Caenorhabditis elegans: one gene and its partners. The protein of the gene in region 2 interacts with the protein of the main gene of each other region in a pairwise test. Each region holds a gene or a part of one and is shown on either strand. Other genes may lie near its edges. The genes, in order: tag-343, F23A7.8 and rrc-1.

Region 1 (4,890 bases), 460 kb from region 2:
GTAATGGAATGAAAAAAAAAGAACTGCAACCTACTTGCTAGAGGAGTAAACACTGCTTCTTGACGAGTTTTGTCCAGACTCCTGAACTCCATAGATACCATCATCCACAAATGGGAGACCCGAGATTGTGATTGGGGTGGTTTCCTGAAATTTAAAAATTTTCTTAAGTTTAGTAGTTTTTAGACACCAAAATTGCAATACTTCTTGGCTGAAAATGTACCACTATCCACAAAGTAAATATTGTTTGGAAATTGTTAAAAACCACTCCTTTGGTCCCAAAATGACCAAATATCATGATAAAACTTTTCAAACATTTTTTGAAAATTTTTTATGTACTGTCAAAGAGTGGAAATTACTCAGTTTTTGCCATTCATATTTTTGGAAGTCGACCAAAAAAAAATTTTTTTTCGACATTTTTTATGTTTTAATTTTGTTTAAATTTTTTGTATGAAAGCATCGGAGGTGTCGAAACATGCGGAATTGCTTTGGATTTCCTCAAAAGCTCGTATTTTTGAAAATTTTGACAACTTGCCAAAACTTTGACTGAAAATTACGAAAAACCTAAAATTTTTGGAGTGTATTATTATGATATTCGGTTGTTTCGGGTAATTTTAAGTACATTTAGACAAAATCCCCACTGGCGCTATTCCACCTTTAAGTTAAAAAGAGTTGTGAATTTTTTTGCAATGTTTCATCACGATAGGTTTTGGGAGCTATTATGAGTATTTTGAGGCAATACAAAAACGTTTCTATACTCCACTTTTGTTTACAAATTATCAACTACATATCAGTTGAAAGTTTTGAACAATTAGCTGGCTGAGAAATCAAACAATTTCAAGCCTTCAAAAGATACCAGGTCCAAATTGTAAATATCTCCTATTTAGGCAAAAAAGTGCCATTGAAAAGTACCTGTACTTTCTCCATGAAAGAATCGAATTGATTTACAGACATTTTCCAATATCTCCTCCGATGTTCGTCATTCAGCCGATCTTCTGAAATTATTAGAACGTTTTCTTTGCAATTCCCACACTGGTAGGTACAGGAAAAAACAAATATCGCCGGATTGGCAGTTTATTTTTCTAGCGATTCGCCAGCCCGAAAATGTTTGATTTAAATGGTCGTCACGTTTTACGAGAAAAGAGGGCGAAAAATGGAGAGAGATGGAAAGTGATAATTCTTATCGAGAGCACTCAATGCCAAAAACTATTCGGTCTGTTTACAACTTTTAACACGGCGCGAGAAAGCTATGCAAACGCTGAATCAATACAAAAATTTCAATCACACTCACCCATTTGTTTTTGAAATGTACAAGACGTGTTGATAGTGAACTTGGGACACTCTGATAAACCGAATCTTCGTAAAAGAGGCTCGAAAGTTCTGGAGCCGTCGGACGCTGTGATGAACACAACAATACTGTTGCGTACATGTTCTGGAAGATTGGAGAGAACCTGGAAATGTGAAAGTAGGATCTGAAGTCAAGTTCTAGATACCTGTTGCAGTTCGTCTTCTTCGTGCATGCTCATTCTGTGCAACTGTGAGAACACAATTGCAATAACGTCCAGTCTCATCTTCCAATTGTTAAGAAGCCATTTATGTATTAAAGATGGCGAATCGAAACCATCACTGAAATTTAATTATTATTGTATTTTTTTAATCCAAGTTGTATATTTTTTGTACTGTAAAAATTACTGTCTTAAGAGTTTTCTGCATTTTTCGTAAAGTTAGTGGTTAAAAAATTTTGAAATACATTGCAATAAACAATTGAAATACATTATGTATTTTTTTTAATTTAGTAGATTAACCAAAGTAGACAGATATTATCATCATAAAAGCTCCTAACAGAGGAGGATTTTACAAGTTCTGGCTAAATTTGTAAAAAGAAACACCCGTCGTACGGCTATTTAAACTACTAGGATCATTTATCTGGAAGGAATAAAATGATTATCACGTATTTAAAAAAAAACAAAATAGTATAAGATTTTCAATAAAGTGTTAAAAAACACACAAAAAAATGGCTGAGAAAATGCAAAACGTAAGCTATGCTCCTATTATGAAATCTTCAACAATTAAAATTTTTGCAATTTTAGAATTTTGAACAGAAGAGTTGCCGATAATTTAAATCATATAATTTCGAAATAATGAATTCAAAACCTATAGAAATCTAAAAGTAAGGTCCCTAGAAACCCCAAAAACTATTGAACACCTTATAAAACAAGAAGAGTTCTTTTTAGTCCTGTTTACATTTACTTTGATTTACGACCAGATAACAAGTCGAGATTTTACGACCTGTTGTTGGCCTAATGGTAGAAGACAGTGGTTAAATGACATGGACCTCTCCATCGCCACAGCAAAATTGTACATTTGATTATGACTGCTATGAGGGACTTAGAGGGACGGTCCTTTTGTTCCCAATAAGAGCCTACATTCAATAGTACATTAAATACATAACTGGGTTTGAACATTTGACACTGCTCTAAGTTTCAAGAAAATGGTAAAGTTTTGGCCAATTTAGTTTTAATTTAATTTTAATTTGTACCAGAAACCCAAAGTCGGTAGATATCCTATTTCTTGTTTTAACATTAATTCTAAGAATAATTTATTATGCTCATTGGAATTTGCAACTTTTATGATTTTTTCCCAATTTTGAAAAAAAAACCTACTATGTATCTCCACACGCGATCATATCCAGAATTACAGGACGAACCGACATTTTTGTTTCGTTAAAAATATAGCACTGTACAGGTTTTGTAGGAGTTTCCGAGTTGAATTTCTGCAATTCAATACTTACTTTTTCATATTACAATTGTAATACTTCATTGGAAATGTGAAATCTCCTTTGATCCATTGAATCCACTCCATAAAAATAATTACACAAAAAATCGATAAGTTCTGACTTTTGAGAACTTGTTGGTCCTAACAATAAGACTACCCGGTTTTCGCGTTCTTCGTTGTCTGAAAAAAAAAACAGTAAAATTCTCAAGATAATTAAGACTCCAACCTTCCTTCGCCGAGACAAATACAGTCCTAACATCCTTCTGTTCGAGAGCTTCACCCACAAATTTCGAGTCTGGGGAGATCATGTCCTCGAGCAGAGGAGTATCGGAAAGTGCTCTACAAGTTTTGATCAGTTATTTGAGTTGGGATGTGTTGCGGCGTACAAAATGTATAATATGCAAAATGTTTGTTTTGGTCATCGCAGTTTAGTTAAACTTTCATGAAGTGTAAGGTTTCGATTTGAACTGCAATAGTTTTTGAATAGGGCAAAAAGAAATTGTAGGGTTTAAAATACTATTAACCAGAACACAAAATTTAACCCTTGAAATAAGCAGTTTTTTACCCTGCACTTATTAATTTAACAAGAGAGCATTCGGATAACTTATATATTGTCAACAACACTACAAAAAACATTCGAGAAAAGATGAAAACAAATTGTTTTAAAAAAACTTTTTTGAAACATCGGAGAAAAATATAATTTCTACGTTTGAATTTTGAGAAAATTTTAAAAAATCGCCAAAAAATAATATTTGCCATAATACTAAATCTGGCTGAGATCTTAAAATTATTTTCAGAAAGTACTAAAAATCTGCAACAAATCTGCTGAAAAATTGAGAAAAAGGATTGTCGCCGTCAAACGACCTTACTTGAAGTTTTGAAAAATCTATTTTTCTCCTAATAATTATATTTCCTTTTCTAACGCAAATTCTGGGATACCTAATTAAATTGTGATGATATTCTCTAAAGAACTGAAAACCTGCACTAAAACTATTATAAAAGAAACATTTTTAATTATGCAGAGATAATATGGTGATGCAAGTTATTATTTTATAAATTGAGTCGTCAGTTAAAAAGGGGATGAACTAATCTCAACGTCAGTTAGAAAGAACATATTTTAAAGTTTCAAAAAAAAACTAATGTAGAAAAAATCGAACATTTCATTTTGCACAAACACGTTGAGTCACAAATGTGGGGTTGCCGAGCTGTGAAAGTGCACACGCAAAGAAACAAAAACTGTTCTTATCATCAAAACCAATGATAATTATTTTATTCCTATTCTACCGCTTATGTTTTTAAGTATAACGGTACTAGATCAGAATCAAAGACCTGTTGCGAAACTGTATGTTAGGGCACTTAAAACATCTTCAGCTAGCACTAAAATTCCAGGAAATTTTCGATTTAACCATGTTTGTATTGTATTCCTCACTGCGAATTCCACCACACTGATAACTCATTCCTGTCAACACACGTACACACATACCTGATCATTTTATAGCCGAATACTTTCCGTTAGGTTGGCTGTAAATCAGCGTTGAGAAGTCATAAATCGGTTATGGTCTTGACGTAAAAGTGAGAAAAATGATACATGATGATGGGTGATAATAGTGATAATAGAGGAGAAGAGAACATATCATATTTGGTAGTAGGATTGAAACCTGTTTTTTTTGTTCGATAACCTCCAGCAGCTACACGATTCATATAATTATTACGCCATTGCAGTGTATAAGGTGTACATGTATGGGTGTCCTTGTCACCACTTTTTGATCGAACGCTTCCCAAATTGAATGGTGAAACGGTACAGTGAAAGCAATAAAGTGTGAAGTACAGCTTGTTAAGAATGTTCTGCAAGACTTGTTTAATAATTATAGTTACAAACTCAAAAACTTTTGAAAAAATATTATGGTGGACACTCAGCCAAATAACTGAAAAATTGACTACTAGCTCGAAAACGATAATAAATTAAAAAAAAAACTATTGTATGTAGGATATAGAAAATTTTTCACGGAGGTTATCTTTTTCACAGTTATGAATAAACTTATTGTTTAGACACTCACACCAGTGAGCATATTTGCATTTTAGTTAAATGCGAGGGGGCAGATAGCTCAGTCGGTAGTG
Region 2 (2,706 bases):
GAAAACAATTTTTCTAGTTGACTTCTAAAATTATGATATGTAGGAGCAAACTGAATATTCAGCACTTTTTGGCTGAAAAAAAATTCAAATAAATTTTGAAAAGTTTTACTATTATATAACATTAGTCATCTATGAGATGTTTTGAATTATTTCTCTAAAGACGATAACCTTTACATTTTAAACAAATTATACATTTCAATTGTCCAGAATCAAAAATGCAAGCGAACATCTCGGAATGGAGAATAGTGTCGGGGTACTGCAGTGTAGGGCTGTACAAATCGGCGTCCGGTCGTACGATTTTGACACCACCGGACGCACTGCGTCCGGTTTTGGGGTAGGTTTCCACGGCGGCCGACAATTTCCGAGTTTCGCCACTCACTATGCTTAATCAGCAATTTTATAGTGAGTGGCGAAACTCGGAAATTGTCGGCTGTCGTGGATAGCTACCCCCAACCGGACGCATGTGCGTCCGGTTCGGACGACCGGACGTCCGGTTGTACAGCCCTACTGCAGTGAGACTATAGGGGTACTGTAGGAGTACGGTAGTACTATATTCATTCATTCACCAATGCCTTCTTAAAAAATGAAGGGAGAGAAGTACATGCGCGAAAGCGCAAAATTTTTTTTTTTTTTTGGGAGTGGAGTTAATCTCCAACTCCAGAATAGACCTTTCGTTTTTCTGTTTTATCCATCGACATAAGACATTGGGTTTGATGGCAACCCAATGAATACTCATCAATCTCCAGGCTGAGCAAACCTGAGGGGACTAGGCCGGACTTGAACTCGTGACCTGTCGATTGCAAGTCAGTGTTGTAACCAACTGAGCTATCGACGCCCCATTGCAGCATGACTTAATTGGAATTTACATAACCGCTCGCGGAAAACGATAAATGCAAGCGGCAAGCTCGTACGTCTCAGAATGTTGAGTAGTGTCGGGGTACTGCAGTGAGACTATAGGGGTACTGTAGGAGTACGGTAGTACTGTAGTTTTGAACATTTGTGGGATATATATCTCCGTATTATTAAATGTTGGTTTTCAGATATCGGAATTAAAGAGTGCACTGAAATTTTACTTTCGAGAGAAACGTAAATGCCGAGTTTTCAAGAATAACAACAACGCGCGAAAGCGTAAAAAACAATTTTTTTTTGGGAGTGGAGTTAAGCTCCAACTCTAGAATAGCCCTTTCGATTTTTGTTTCGTCCATCGACATAAGACATTGGGTTTGATGGAAGACCCAATGAATACTCAACAATCTCCAGGCTGAGCAAACCTGGGGGGACTAGGCCGGACTTGAACTCGTGACCTTCAAAATTAAAAAATGCAGAATTAAAAAATGCACCGATGTCGTGTTTTTGAGGAAAACGAAAAAGCGCGAAAACGCAAATTTTTTTTTTTTTGGGAGCGGAGTTAAGCTCCAACTCCAGAATAGACCATGCGATTTTTTTCCGACACCACCATCGACATAAGACATTGGGTTTGATGGCAACCCAATGAATACTCATCAATCTCCAGGCTGAGCAAACCTGGGGGGACTAGGCCGGACTTGAACTCGTGACCTGTCGATTGCAAGTCAGTGTTGTAACCAACTGAGCTATCGACGCCCCATTGCAGCATGACTTAATTGGAATTTACATAACCGCTCGCGGAAAACGATAAATGCAAGCGGCAAGCTCGTACTTCTCGGAATGCAGAGTAGTGTCGCGGTACTGCAGTGAGACTATAGAGGTACTGTAGGAGTACGGTAGTACTGTATATATTCATTCATTCACCAATCCTTTCATAAAAATGGCGTGATATTTGGAAAATAAAATTCACCAGAGAATTATTACTGTAGGTTCTTATAATTTGCAATGTTACGTTTAATATTGACTTGTTTTGCATTGTTTGCAGATTCTAGAGCAGATTCTAGAGTAAGAAATCGAGAGAAAAGATCTACAAACAAGAATTGTTGTTGCAGAGTTTTGGACAATAGCAGTGCACATTTGGGCAGCCTATCGTCCTCTTCCCGGTTTTTCGGCGCAATAATTATGGTCGTTTTATTGCAAATCGACATCTATAAATGTTTTTTCTGTTTGTTTTTGTAGATATTGGTATGATCTCCTTTAATATAAACTGTTTTACTAGTTAATAATTATTTTTTAATTTTCATTGTAAAACTGCTTCAAGATAAGAACTTTATTTGTATTTTTCAATATTCCGACTATCATGTACACCATGGTAAGTAGGATGGTAGGGTGCATTCTTGGTACATCAAACGGGCAGTTTTGCGCATAATGACGTACACTTCTGCAGTTATGCAATTTTGGCCAATGATAAGTCGGTGATAAGTGTTTTCAATCAGAACTATATATTTTAGTACACATGTAAGATTAGGCAAACCTTTAATTCCAATACGTTGTCTATTTATTTCTACCCAAATTGATTTTTTCAAACAATTTTTTAAACACTAGCCATAGCCAAAATGGGTTACTTATACAATAGCTACTATCAAATTTCAGTTGTCCAGAGTAAATTGTTTCTTCTCTCTAATCGCGTAGTAGTTCTGAATCTTAAAAATCTGAATCTTAAGAAACTTTAAATGAATTAACACATCCTACACGTATTTTTCCCCTATTTTTCCCCTCCCTCTGTTATACAGCGTTTTCTAGAACTCGTATTAAAAATTTATAAGAGAAAATTCCTAAGATGGCTTTTTTAGAGTTCAA
Region 3 (4,746 bases), 6.4 Mb from region 2:
ATTTTTTCTATTAGTTTTGCAGCCTCTAATAGTGTTGCAGTCTTTATTAGTCTTTCACCTCTACGGGTCAATCCAAAATTTGTCTTACAAGCAAGATTGATTCAGGAAACACGGTAATTCTTTCTACAATTGTTCTGGCACTATATAATATGTTCTAGTAAGGTTATTTACAAGTTACAGCTCATAATATTACTAACAATTTGTTTTCCCTTTTGCACAAATACATTTTAATTGTCAGATCAACTTTAGGTATCCATATTTCTTAAATTACCAAAGAGTAGTTGAAAAAAAAGAAGCTAGAGCATATGACGGTCATTTTTGTCTGCAAGAACATTTGAACCAGCAAGCCCGTCTCACCCAATGCGGTGATAGTGTCAGGTGGTAGATTTGTATCGAGTGCTCCACAGAAGAGCAGCAGCTAAAGAGCATAGGGGTAGAAAAAGAAGAACGTATGTGTGTGTGTGTGCTTCGCCAGAATTGTGATACGTAGAGACAAGACGACGGAGATTGGTTGATGAGACGAAGAGAGAAACTCGGGACCCGTTGCTATCTTCTTTATCTTTAGACCGAAACTTTGAAGATGAAGAAGATGAAGCGTCCGGAAATATAACACACTAATAACCCTTCGTTTTATCATTTTTGACTCAAAATCATACTGATTAGCATCAATCGTTCAACCAGTTCTTTCTCATCCTTAACCATCCATGAAAATCCTGACACCTGTTGTGCCTAGAATTTGGTTTCAAATGGCTTGTACTTTCTCTCCTCCTTAACAACAGCAGCTGTCCACTGCGTTAGAAAACCGGAAACCCGGCACGGATCCGTGTTGGCTGCTGCCCCTGAAGAGCTTGGTTATCTTTTTTGCTAGGTGTCACAAGTGTTGATGAATTTTTGGAACCAACCTGAGCTTTTTTTCTTTTTGCGTTTTTTGTTCTACCCAGTCGAGTGATAAACGTTAATTGTATGTGTTCTAAAAAACAACACATTTTCCGAGAAAATTATGTGAAATTTGTGTATATTTAATCAAAAGTTTAGAAGCATAAAGAATATAATATAAAATATAAATTGCTTTATTTTATTTTTAGTTTTGGTTTTTTGTGTAGAATTATACGACCCTTTTTAAATTTTATGATAAATTTCTAATAATCCAGATAAATTTTGCTCTGGAACCATATTAAATTTGAGTGTATGGCTTCAAAACCTTCTTTTTTTAATTTCAAAAATAGAGTTTCCACTTAAAAGTTACAACATCAGAAACTCACTTCCTCACAACGTTTATCTTCAAATATCACGAAACGAGGTACATATATATCTAAAATCTTAATCATAATCTTCAGTTTTATCCTAAAACTCTCGAACAAGATGTTTCTGGCCACATGATTTTTTAACACATGTCTGAAGATTCTTGGTTGTTGGCTCCTAACAACGCCTGCCTTCCTATGTCATTGCTCAATTTTTGACAACTTCCAAACAGAACCCATATTTACTCCTTCAGTCACACGACAATTTAACTGATTTTCCTGATTGCCCCCTTTTCGTCCCGCTTTCCTAACTAAAAGCCGTCACTTCTCATTTGCCAACACAAATTGACATGATGTTTGCATGTAAATAATCGAACCGATCTATAAGCAAAGCGTGTGTTTATAACATGTATTTTTCCTCAAACACCACACGTTTACCTTTTATTCTCATGACTTCCGGTTGCCATTTTCAGGAAGGATAACGAGGACAACAAAAACTGGTAAAAACATTTGAAAAGCAACGTATTCATTTAAAGTGATGTAAAAAATGGAAGGCATCGAGGAATCATTTGCACCTTTATCTCCCAAAAGCCCATTTGCACGCAGAAACGGAAGAAGGTAGATTTTTCGAAATTTTTTAGATTTTCAAACTTTAAAAAATTTAATGATTTAGGTTTGCCAGAATCCTAATGCACTCAAATTTAACATTTCGTTTTCAAAATACTTATCTTTGCTTGCGCAAAAGATATTTTGAATAAAGATTTGAGGTCTGGAATTAACCATTTGAGCTAATCGGAAAAGAATTAAGAGAAAAACGGGCGAAACCCGACATTTAGATTCATCCAACTTGTTTCAAAAGCTTTCAAAAAAAGTATAATAATTTTTTAAGCACCGTGTTAATGATGCAGGGTGGCCTATAATTGTGGGCCATCGTGTAACGTAATTTCCCTTCTGTTGTGGAACTTTTTTTCAAAGTATATTTGAAACATAAATTTAATTTTATGTAGACAACTTCAATTTTACTGTAAAAACAACAATTCACATCATATGCATAAGAAATTGTTAAAAGAAGAGTAACAGTTTGGTTTGTTTTTTCTTCGTGCTACAACTGATTCTACAATCTGCTTAAAATAAATATTTTTACCAAGACGTCTTGAAGCAATTCTAAGAGTTGCAATACAGACCTGTCTTGTATTTTTGTTCTTGAAAAATAACTATGTGAAAGGTCTAAAATTCTCCAGTTTTACTAAAAACGTTTCGAAACATTGAATTGCTTCCAACAACCTTTTGATAAATGTCCTTCCATAAATCTAACCAGTGGCCCACATTTTGCAATTTGATTTTTCTGCAATCACTCTCTGGTCCATCTCTTTCTCCCCTTTCATCCCAATCAAAATTGAATGTTTCATCGCTTATCCGCTTGTCTACCGCCACGACCGGCGAGTGCAGCTAGCGTACGATGTAGTGAGCGTGGGATTACACACTCACCAACAGAACCTTGAGGAGAGACCTCTCGGCTCCTATCTATTCCATCTCAATATTTCATGTAATTGATTGAATGACTTTATTTTGGACTTTATCTATTCACTGACTACTTGCAAAGATGGATCCAGAAATACCAGGGTACAAAATATGTTGAATTTGTAGTAGAATGTTTATAAATCAAAAAATTCACTTACGGTCTCCCTCATTATATCCATTTATTTGCAAAAAATTTAGTTAGGTGAATTTAGAAAAAGGTGGTTTTTGTGTTTATCGGTTGCCCAGATAAAACAGTGCAATAAAATTGGAAAAATAATGAAGTGTATTGTTGTACATAAAAAATTTACTATTGGTTACAGTGCAACATCGAGTACTGTGAGTTTTTGAAAAATATTGATATCAAAAATTTATTTTTTTTACCGTTACAACAAGAATGGCAGGCGTTCGGCAATTCGCATCAAATTATCCACCAATTTTAGCAATTCAAGCAGTTTTCAACGAGATGCACATTTTTCAGAATCAGTGCCCCGGTGGCCGAGCGGTCGAAGGCGTGAGACTTATGATCTCATTGGGTTAAACCAGTCGCGGGTTCGAATCCCGCCCGGGGCAATATCCTTTTTTTACTATTAAATCAAGTTTTACCAAAGAATAACCATTAAAAGAAAAATAATTCGAACTGTACATTAAATAATTGTAACTACTTCAGCCCTTTTTAACCAAGTTTAGGCCACTATAGAAACATTTTCAGTGCAAAGTTTTCAGCGCATCCCCAACTTTAATTTATTTTACCCAACTTTAGCCAGTTTTTCACTAAATGCATTCCTAAAGCTGATAAGGTTGGTAGATATGTTGCGGCGTTCTTTCAAGAAAATATCTTTACATTTCTTCACCACAAACATTTTAATTGGAATATTAATGTTTTAGTATCAACTTTGTGAGTTGAAAAATTTTTGAAAGAAGCAAATTTTGCTAGCTGGAAATAATTCATATACTACTTCACTGTTTATTTCGTTGAATATCAACAATTTATTGTGTTTCAGTCTTCGCATTCAACGACTAGTCGACTGTCAACACTTCCATTATTCGTCTGTTGAATTGGGTCCCGTCCGTGTTGCCATCATCGCAATAAACGCTGACGAGAATGCAACAGAGCGGATAAAAATGCGTGTGGAAAGTGAATCAAATTCATGGTGAGTTGGTCATTCCTTCTGTTTCCAATTTGTCTTCAAAAATTCGTGCTCCGTGGTGTTTCTCTCGGTTTTTCTTTCAATGTTCTGCCACACAGAAATCAAACAAAAAAGCCACGAGTGAAGTCTCATGGGAGATGAGAATAAAGGCTGAATAAAGTTAGTACGAGGAAGAACAAAAAAGAAAAAAGAAAGAAAAACGGAAACTTGAAAGGTTTTCCATCATTGATTCATTCAGGCTTGTCGAACGTTCTCGGGAGGATTGGGCAGTCTTCGACAGACAGCTGCATCGTTGTGTGTTCGAACGAAGGCATTCACGACTTGACGAGCTGTTTCCTCTTATTCATCTGGAAACGGCAAAGTTCGAGGTGACGGCTTCTTTTCAAAATCACTAGTCATCACATTTGATGTTTACAGGAAGTTCTTGTCAAGTATACGGAGCGATTATCGGAACTCACTGGCAGCATTATAACGTGCTATCCTGTTCTGAAATTTTTAGAAGTAAGCGAAATTGTTTTTAACTCCAAACTTCAATTTAATTTAAATTTAAAACTGGCTATGGTTTAGACTTTTTACAGTATCTCTTCAAATTAGAAAAGTTAAATTAAAAAAGATTCGAATAAACCAAATGAACCCAAGACGATAAATATTTCATTTCAAGTATTGCAAACATTTCAGATAGGAAAATTTGTTTTCCTTTCTGACAGAATAGTAAGTCTGTATTTCAAAGAGTTATTCAATTATTTGAACCTTTCTCACAAAATTGGTGAGTTCTAGTACAACCTTGAAAAAATATCTTGTTCTTCTTATGATTTTGACACCACTCGCTCTTAACT

What was found.
Region 1: the proteins of F23A7.8 (region 2) and tag-343 interact in a two-hybrid assay, tested with the Caenorhabditis elegans proteins (one large-scale study listed by BioGRID).
Region 3: the proteins of F23A7.8 (region 2) and rrc-1 interact in a two-hybrid assay, tested with the Caenorhabditis elegans proteins (one large-scale study listed by BioGRID).

What each region holds. Positions count from the first base shown.
Region 1 is NC_003284.9:16,671,653-16,676,542, forward strand, and holds the start of tag-343 (RNA polymerase II-associated factor 1 homolog), read right to left. Parts: upstream 3,081-4,890; coding exon 2,999-3,080; intron 2,953-2,998; coding exon 2,813-2,952; intron 2,771-2,812; coding exon 2,661-2,770; intron 1,624-2,660; coding exon 1,491-1,623; intron 1,449-1,490; coding exon 1,289-1,448; intron 993-1,288; coding exon 910-992; intron 145-909; coding exon 35-144; intron 1-34.
Region 2 is NC_003284.9:16,211,515-16,214,220, reverse strand, and holds F23A7.8 (Ovule protein), read right to left. Parts: upstream 849-2,706; coding exon 645-848; downstream 1-644. Other genes in the region: F23A7.4 (RT_RNaseH_2 domain-containing protein), read right to left, coding at 1,409-1,615.
Region 3 is NC_003284.9:9,828,253-9,832,998, reverse strand, and holds the start of rrc-1 (GTPase-activating protein rrc-1), read left to right. Parts: upstream 1-1,710; 5' UTR 1,711-1,788; coding exon 1,789-1,859; intron 1,860-2,695; exon of another isoform or gene 2,696-2,844; coding exon of another isoform or gene 2,845-2,864; intron 2,865-3,247; exon of another isoform or gene 3,248-3,332; intron 3,333-3,763; coding exon 3,764-3,913; intron 3,914-4,148; coding exon 4,149-4,278; intron 4,279-4,327; coding exon 4,328-4,411; intron 4,412-4,746. UniProt on the Caenorhabditis elegans protein: Functions as a GTPase-activating protein (GAP) for ced-10/rac-1 and CDC42.